Mus musculus: one gene and its partner. The protein of the gene in region 2 binds, or shares a complex with, the protein of the main gene of each other region. Links are inferred from orthologs where the notes say so. Each region holds a gene or a part of one and is shown on either strand. Other genes may lie near its edges.

The links.
Region 1: Nbas (region 2) and Rint1 share a complex: the UniProt entries of both Homo sapiens proteins name them as parts of the NRZ complex. The link is inferred for Mus musculus from reciprocal best matches to the Homo sapiens genes NBAS and RINT1.

Annotation. Positions count from the first base shown.
Region 1 is NC_000071.6:23,811,601-23,815,249, forward strand, and holds part of Rint1 (RAD50-interacting protein 1), read left to right. Parts: intron 1-109; coding exon 110-309; intron 310-3,649. UniProt on the Homo sapiens protein: Involved in regulation of membrane traffic between the Golgi and the endoplasmic reticulum (ER); the function is proposed to depend on its association in the NRZ complex which is believed to play a role in SNARE assembly at the ER.
Region 2 is NC_000078.6:13,267,631-13,272,075, forward strand, and holds the start of Nbas (neuroblastoma-amplified sequence), read left to right. Parts: upstream 1-1,496; 5' UTR 1,497-1,520; coding exon 1,521-1,634; intron 1,635-1,690; exon of another isoform or gene 1,691-1,864; intron 1,865-3,533; coding exon 3,534-3,588; intron 3,589-4,445. UniProt on the Homo sapiens protein: Involved in Golgi-to-endoplasmic reticulum (ER) retrograde transport; the function is proposed to depend on its association in the NRZ complex which is believed to play a role in SNARE assembly at the ER. Required for normal embryonic development.

The DNA of each region.
Region 1 (3,649 bases), on a different chromosome or scaffold from region 2:
GTAATTTCTTAAGAGTTTGATCATAAAGGCAGTAAAGCCGGGCTTTAGGGAAAACCAGCTGTCATGGAGAGTACCAGGTTCATTCATGTATTGTTCACTCTCTCCGCAGACAGGTATAAAAATCTCCCCACAGCCTCCCGGAAACTGCAGTTCCTGGAGCTACAGAAGGACCTGGTAGATGATTTCAGGATCCGGTTAACGCAGGTGATGAAGGAGGAGACGAGAGCGGCCCTGGGCTTTCGGTACTGTGCGATTCTCAATGCCGTGAACTATATCTCAGCAGTGCTGGCAGACTGGGCTGACAATGTTGTGAGTTAATGTGCTTTTATAGGAAATAATTTATTAGTACCTTTATCTCCTTTAGCCTTTCAAATGTTGACTTTGCTGCAAGCCAAAAAATTACATGTTAGACTGTGTCTCTGTGACTGGCTGTGACTGTGTGGCTGTGGCTCTAACTGTGACTGGCTGTGACTTTGACTGTGTAACTGTGACTGTGTGACTGTGGATATGGATGTGGATGTGACTGTGTGGCTGTTGCTATGACTGTGTGACTGTGGCTGTGACTATAGCTGTGACTGTGACTGTGTCTCTGGATGTGACTGTCACTATGGCTGTGACTATGATTGTGTGGCTATGATGGTGGCTGTGACTGTGTGGCTGTGACTGACTGGCTGTGACTGTGGCTATGTCTGTGACTGTGCGGCTGTGACTGTGGCTATGACTGTGTGGCTGTGACTGTGTGACTGTGACTGGTTATGGCTGTGACTGTGTGACTGTGGCTATGATTGTGACTGATAGTGTCTGTATCTGGTTGTGTCTCTGGCTGTGACTGTGGCTGTGACTTTGTGGCTCTGGCTGTGACTTTGGCTGTGTCTCTGGCTGTGACTGTGTGACTGTGACTGTGTCTGTGTGGCTGTAACTGTGTCTGTGTCTCTGACTGTGTCTGTGTCTCTGGCTGTAACTGTGACTGTGTGATTGTGGCTGTGATGGTGGCTGAGACTGTGTGACTGTGGCTGTGGCTGTGTGGCTGTGGCTGTGTGGCTGTGGCTAAGACTGTGACTGTGTGGCTGTGACTGTGTCTGTGTCTATGTGGCTGTGACTGTAGCTGTTTCTCTGACTGTGTCTGTGTCTCTGGCTATAACTGTGACTGTGTGATTGTGGCTGTGATGGTGGCTGAAACTGTGACTGTGTGACTGTGGCTGTGTGACTGTGGCTGTGACTGTGTGGCTGTGACTGTGTCTGTGTCCATGTGGCTGTGACTGTGGCTGTGTTTCTGTCTGTGTCTCTGGCTGTAACTGTGACTGTAGCTGTGTCTCTGGCTGTGACTGTAGCTGAGACTGTGGCTGTGTGGCTGTGGCTGTGTGACTGTGGCTGTGACTGTGTGACTATGGCTGTGTGGCTGTGACTGTGTGACTGTGTGGCTGTCTGTGTGACTATGGCTGTGTGGCTGTGACACTGTGACTGTGTGACTGGCTGTGACTGTGTGGCTGTGGCTGTGACTATGTGGCTGTGACTGTGTGACTGGCTGTGACTGTGTGACTGTGGCTGTGTGGCTGTAGCTGTGACTGTGGCTGTGACTGTGACTATGTGACTGTGGCTGTGACTGTGTGACTATGGCTGTGGCTGTGACTGTGTGACTGTGACTGTGGCTGTGGCTGTGACTGTGTGGCTATGACTGTGTGACTGTGGCTGTGGCTGTGACTGTGACTGTGTGGCTGTAACTATGTGACTGGCTGTGATTGTGACTGTGTGGCTGTGACTGTGTGACTGTGCCTGTGTGACTGTGGCTGTGACTGTGGCTGTGACTGTGACTGTACTAACTGAGTTCTGGCCTTGATGGTGCTGATTTGTCTTCACAGCAAGTCCTCCAGCCACCCTTACAGTGCTTCATCAAAGGTCTGTTCCCACACAAGTCCAGATGCAGAGAAGAGAACGGCAGCTTACCTTCCTTTGTTTCTGATTGGCTGTTGATAACCATTTGTTGTTGGGCCATGCCACTCCCAAATTGTCCAACCTCTCAGAATTTTCTTTTCAGTTGTCTGTGACAGAACTCCAGTTTTACTGTCGGTGATAAGTGCAGGCAGGGTGTGTGTAATGAATAGACTGGGCATGCCCACTCCACAGGTCATCTCTGGTTGCATTCTCAGGCACTTCCTGGACATGTGGCCATCGGTAACTCTGGGCTGACTACTACAAAAATGACATTTTAGTTCTCTGACTGTCAGAACTCCAGGTTTCTGACAGCCTTCAGTCTGTGTTTAGAAAAACTGAATACTTAAAGGAACATGCTCACTAGCAGAAAAATACAGTATCAAAAATAAAAAATACTGCAGTGAGAAAAAGAAACTGGCAGGGGAGGCACACCCCTGGCTTCTGAGCAGTGGTGGCACAGGCAAAAGGGGTGCCACACCTTCAAGACCAGCTCTATCTGCAGAGCCCCAGGCCAGCCGAGACTACATAGTACCACAGAAAAGAGTGCACACCAAGCACTTGGGAGGCTGATGTAGGCTGGCCATGAGTACAAAGCTACACTGAACTACTCATTTGTCAGCCTCAACTACACAGCAAGATTCAGTCTCCAACCAAAACAAAACCCTCACACATCAAAACCCAACCCAGACTGAAGCAACAAACCTGCTCTGTGCAGGCAGAGCTTCAGACCTCTGGCTATGGCTGGTGGTGACTTAACTGCTGCAGCTTCTGGGCGAGGCAGCCTGGCAGCTCTTAAGACGGTGGGTGGAGTTACAAGTCCAACAGTTCCATTCCTCAGGACAGACAAAGACAAAGGAACACACTTTTTACAGAAAAATGCACATATTAGTCTAAGCAACATTATGCACAATAGATACAAAATGGAAACAGTCCAAACGTGTATCAGCTAGCGAATGTATAAAATGTATGGTCCTGTGATGTACTGGGGGGCAATAAAAGCATGAAGTACATACTTAGAACATGCTATGGCACTAAGAGAGGAGCTGGTCATGAAGAATAGAACTTCATATGGTTCCATTTTCTTGAGACGTCCATGATCATTGAATCCATAAACAGTAGATTAGTGACTGCCTGGAGTTGGAGGAGTGGGCACAAAATGGAGATAGACATGAATGAGGATTTTGTAGGGAGGAAGTAATGGCAGTGCTCTAGAGAAATGGTGGATGCACAGCTCTGAGTTACTACAGCCACTTAGTTGTAAAAATGATTTATACTGTGCATGCGTATGTGTGTGTCACGGCACACATGTTGAGATCAGAGGACAACTTGCAGAGCTTGGCTCTGTCTTTCCACCATGTGGGGTTCAGGACTAAAGCTTCAGGGCGTCAGGCTTAGTGACAGCGCTTCTGTGCACTGAGCCATCACACTGGCCCTTAGTGACAGTGCTTCTGTGCACTGAGCCATCACACTGGCCTTTAGTGACAGTGCTTCTGTGCACTGAGCCGTCACAGTGGCCCTTACAGTGCTTCTGTGCACTGAGCCGTCACACTGGCCCTTAGTGACAGCGCTTCTGTGCACTGAGCCATCACACTGGCCCTTAGTGACAGTGCTTCTGTGCACTGAGCCATCACAGTGGTCCTGAGCTGCATGTTTGATTTTGAGGGAGATGAAAGCTTTTATGTTTACTTTGAGTCAGGGTCTCCTGTAGCCCGTACTG
Region 2 (4,445 bases):
GTGAAATGAATCTATTATACCTGACGACGTTGCATTCTTCTGGGCTAGAGTTTACATTTTTGGAGGATGAGGACAGACTGTACACAAGTAAAATAAATTATACATCACATAGCATATCCAATGATAACAAATGTTGTGTTAAACACACAAGCAGACAAACAAACAGACAACCTGAGCAGGCACGGGGAGGGCTGGGAAGCTGGAGTGGGAAGAAAGTGAGTGTGAACTTAGACAGGAACAAGAGTTCGGAGGGAAGGTGGCATTTAAACTACAACCGGAAGGAGATGAGAGAGCAATAGCAGAGCCACATCAGGTACAACCTCTGTGTACAAAGAACATCCGTGTCAGATCTCCTGATGTTTATGTGTGTCTGTTGTCTTAGAAACAGCAAAGTTGAATGGTGTGTGTGTGTGTGTGTGTGTGGCAAAAGTTTAGCTGTGAGAGTACAAGGTGCAGATGAACTTGGAGAGACATGGGAACAATTAGACACGCTCCAGTTGTGCATTTTATTATACCATTGCCTAATGCACTAAGTTGGTTATTCTACAGGATAATTTCTGAAAGGTATCTTGTGAATTTTCACTTCTTTTCAACTCAACAACAATGTGGTCGTCTTGGTCGTAATTGGCTCTGCTTACACTAAAGGGCCTTGCAAAGACAGGCATATGCTGAATGAATGAATGAATGAATGAATGAATGAATAAACGAGCAAGCAAATGAGGTAAGTTTCCCCTCTAGGGAATCCTCAAGCTGCCCTATCTTTATCGTCCTCCACACCCTTTCTCAGCTTGGCCTCTCTATTCACCCTGTCTGTTATAGCAACGTAATCTTCCTATGTCTTGTGCACCTCCTAACTGATATATTCTCTCCTGACTTCCAGTGAACCCAATTTCTACCTATAGTTGAAGGCCCAGGGCTGGGCCTGATGGCACATCTCTGTACTCTGAGCACTGGGGAGGCTCAGGCAGGAGGACTGGGTCTGAGGCAGGAGGACTGGGTCTGAGGCTAGTCCATGTTGTATGGTGATTTTTAGGACATCCTCTCTTACACAGCTGACAAGCTCTCCTTGTTACAGGGTGTCTTCATCAGCCTCACTGTTTTTTTCTAGGTGCCTAAAGCACCCTTCCTGTGAACTGAATAACCCCTTGGTACATTTAAAGTCCACTCTCCGAACACGTTCTGTGTTTGCAGAAGAATCTGTACATGAACACCAGCACTCTGGGAGGTTCTTGCAGCTTCGTAGACGCTGACTGGGTAAGAAAAGTTCAGTGACTTGACTCATTTCAGGCACAAATGAACAAAAAGTGGACCAGGGTCCAAGACATATCTCATACAAGACAAGGCCATTCTTAGACCCACAGATCTGTCAAGTTTAGCATTCCCTTTCTGTCATTTTTAGCATTCCCTTTCCGCACTTAATTCATTTCACTCTGCCAATCACCAGCGGCCGCGTCCAGGAAAGTATGACCCGCGCGAGTCGCCGTAGTGCCCCTCCCTCCACCACTCTGTTCCCGGCCAACATGGCGGCCCCCGAGTCAGCGCCGGCTTTGAGTCCCGGCTCTGCGGACGAGGAGGAGACGATTCTCTATGACTTGCTGGTCAATACCGAATGGCCACCTGAGACAGAAGTGCAGGTGAGCCGGGCTCTCTTTTTAAGGCTGTAGGCATGGCGCGGGCGCGGGCGCGGGGCGTGTAAAGCCACGTCGCGGTGCCACGCAGTGCAAGTGGAGCGGGGATAGCAGCTGTGTTGTCTCCTGGCAACGGCGGGGCTGCCGGGTCCAGGGCTCGCTGAAGGGTGTCTGTAGTCAGCCTTGGCTCCGAATTCGGCTGTGTATCCCCACTCAGGCTGTCACCCTCTCGGCAGGTCAGTGTCACTCTTCTTCCCTAGGTCCTTGTCATATCCGGACTTGCCTTGTAATCTTGTTACCTGTGGCGGGAGAATTTCGCAGGACTCTATCGTCCTTTAAAAGTCTCAGTAATACGCATTTACTAGTGTGTGTGTGTGTCTGTCTGTCTCTGTCTCTCTCTGTCTCTGTCTCTCTCTGTCTCTGTCTCTCTCAGTGTGTGTGTGTGATACACACACACACACACACACACACACACACACACACTCGGACCCCAGATATGGTGCAGGCTGCTGGGCATTCAGAGACAGTGTTTTCATGGAACTTGCAGTGTGGAGGAGAGATAGCCAATCCAGTGAACGTTTCTCATTACCAAGCCCGAAGTGCTGGCTGAGTAGAATGCCAAGGGAGTGGAGAGAAAGAAGCAGCGGTTCTCCAATTCTGCTGGAGACAAAGTTGTGGTGTTTGCCAACTTATGGACCCTGGAGTTACTAGTTTCCTAGGGAAAGCCTTCGGGTCATAGGGTGAAAGCAGGAGCCCAAGGCCCATTTACTTGACATACATGGTATCAAGTGCCTGGCATGCCCGTGTGTTAGGCCCTGGGGAAGCAGCATGGCTAGGAAGACTCTTAAATCTGGCCCAGTGAGCTCCTTTACCTTGTCTTCTGAGTATTTATTCTGCTTGTCTTCAATTAGGTCTTGTAATGGCAAAAAGCTGCATATATTGTTATTCGTTTCGGTTTCTAGTGAGTGACGTGGACATTTTGTAGATGATGAAATTGAGAGGCTGCTGCCGCCTTTAAGTTGGATAAAGATATCTAGCATTTCAGAAATGTCTGTAATACTGTCTCAATGCTTAGCACTATACGTTGATTAAAAAAACAACACGGAGTCAACTTATATTGAAATCTCGTTGTCCTCTGCCTTTTCTTATCTGCCTTCTTTATTGATTTCTACATCTGTTTCCTACAGCTGTTGCCCTATAAGCTCTGCCTGGGATCAACTTTATATCCCTCCACTGTGCCAAATTGTTCCCTGATGATTCCTTCATGTTTGTTAAGCGAGCGTCCTAGGGAGTAACGTATCTGTTCTTACTGATTACTTATTCATTTTATTCTTGGTAGAACTTGAAAGCACTCTACTCACTGTATTTGTTATTCTTTATTCTACAGACAGTGCCATTCAGTTTACGTTTGTGGACTCAAATTAATTACTGTAGTAGTTACATATCTGTGTTTTGTTAATAACATTGTCTCCATGGATACACAATAGGTAATCACTTTTCCTCTTAGTGAAATCTGTTTTAGGTCTCTGTGCCTGCCCTATAGACTGCATTGACTGGGCAATTAGTATTGTCTTTGTTCAAACCCAGGCCCCTGAACGTCATAGGCAAGTTCTCTACCACACAGCTCAGCTCTGCCCCTGTGGTTCCTTCTCTTTTCATTGGTGTTTTGATGTGGAAACTGTTTCTAACCTCACCTTGGGGTTCTTCCTGACAGGGATCTATGAACATAATTCTCACTCTTATTGCTACTACACACAGTTCATATTGCAACCTGTAAGAAGTTTTAAAATACTGATGCTGGTATTCAGTGCTCTGGATATAAGTAGAGAAGCATAAATTTAAATGTTTCAAGTATTATAAAATTCTCAACTGTAAGTTTTTATCTATTTATTTATTTTATTTTAGCTCAGAGGCAACCGAAAGCACGGTGCATCATTCATCATCACAAAAGCAATCAGAGGTAAAGAGGCCTTGCATTTTATGTATTATATAGTTCATAGACAGGTTTTTCTCCTTTCACAACTATGCACTTTACCTATGAACCAGGAGGAGTCTGAAAAAGAGTTGAGCATCAGCCTTATTGAACCATGAGGGCTTTATAATATTAATTAACAGATTGATATAGTTCTTCTAGGCTGACAAGTTAAGTGTTGTTTTATATTTATTTATTACATATTATATGTATGCATGTGTGTGTGTGCCTAAGTACATACATGCGTGTGTACCAGATGTGTGCCGGAACCCATGGAGATTTGAAGAGATGTAGAATCCCATGGAGCTGAAGTTATAGGTGTTTGTGAGCCATCATGAGTGTGCTGGGAGGGAACCAAACCTAGGTCCTGTGCAAGGGCAGCCAGTGCTCCTCGGCACTGAGGCAGCTCTCCAGCCCTCTGCTGTAATGGTTGGCTGTGGGGACTTGGCCACAGTGTTCTTTGGGAATGTAACTACCTGCCTTCGGGCCTTGAAGGCCGTCCTCAATTTACATCTGAGTTCCTTATGAAGAGAAAATTCAATTTAAAGAAATAGAAAATTTGTGGCTAGCTGTGATTTTATATAAGTTCTAATGTATTCAATTTTCATAATCATAAATGAAGTCTTGGTTTATTTAGAAAATATATATATAACTGATCAAAATAATTGTAGAAAAAACTGAAAGTATAAATACCGACATATTTTAATAGAATTTTCTTTATTTTGCAACTTAGAGATGACGTTCTTCAGACTTTTCTTCCGTGGTGTGCCTAGCTGCGTGCATGGAAGTGTGTGTGTGTGTGTGTGTGTGTGTGTGTGTGTGTGTGTAAGAGAGTGCATGAGAGA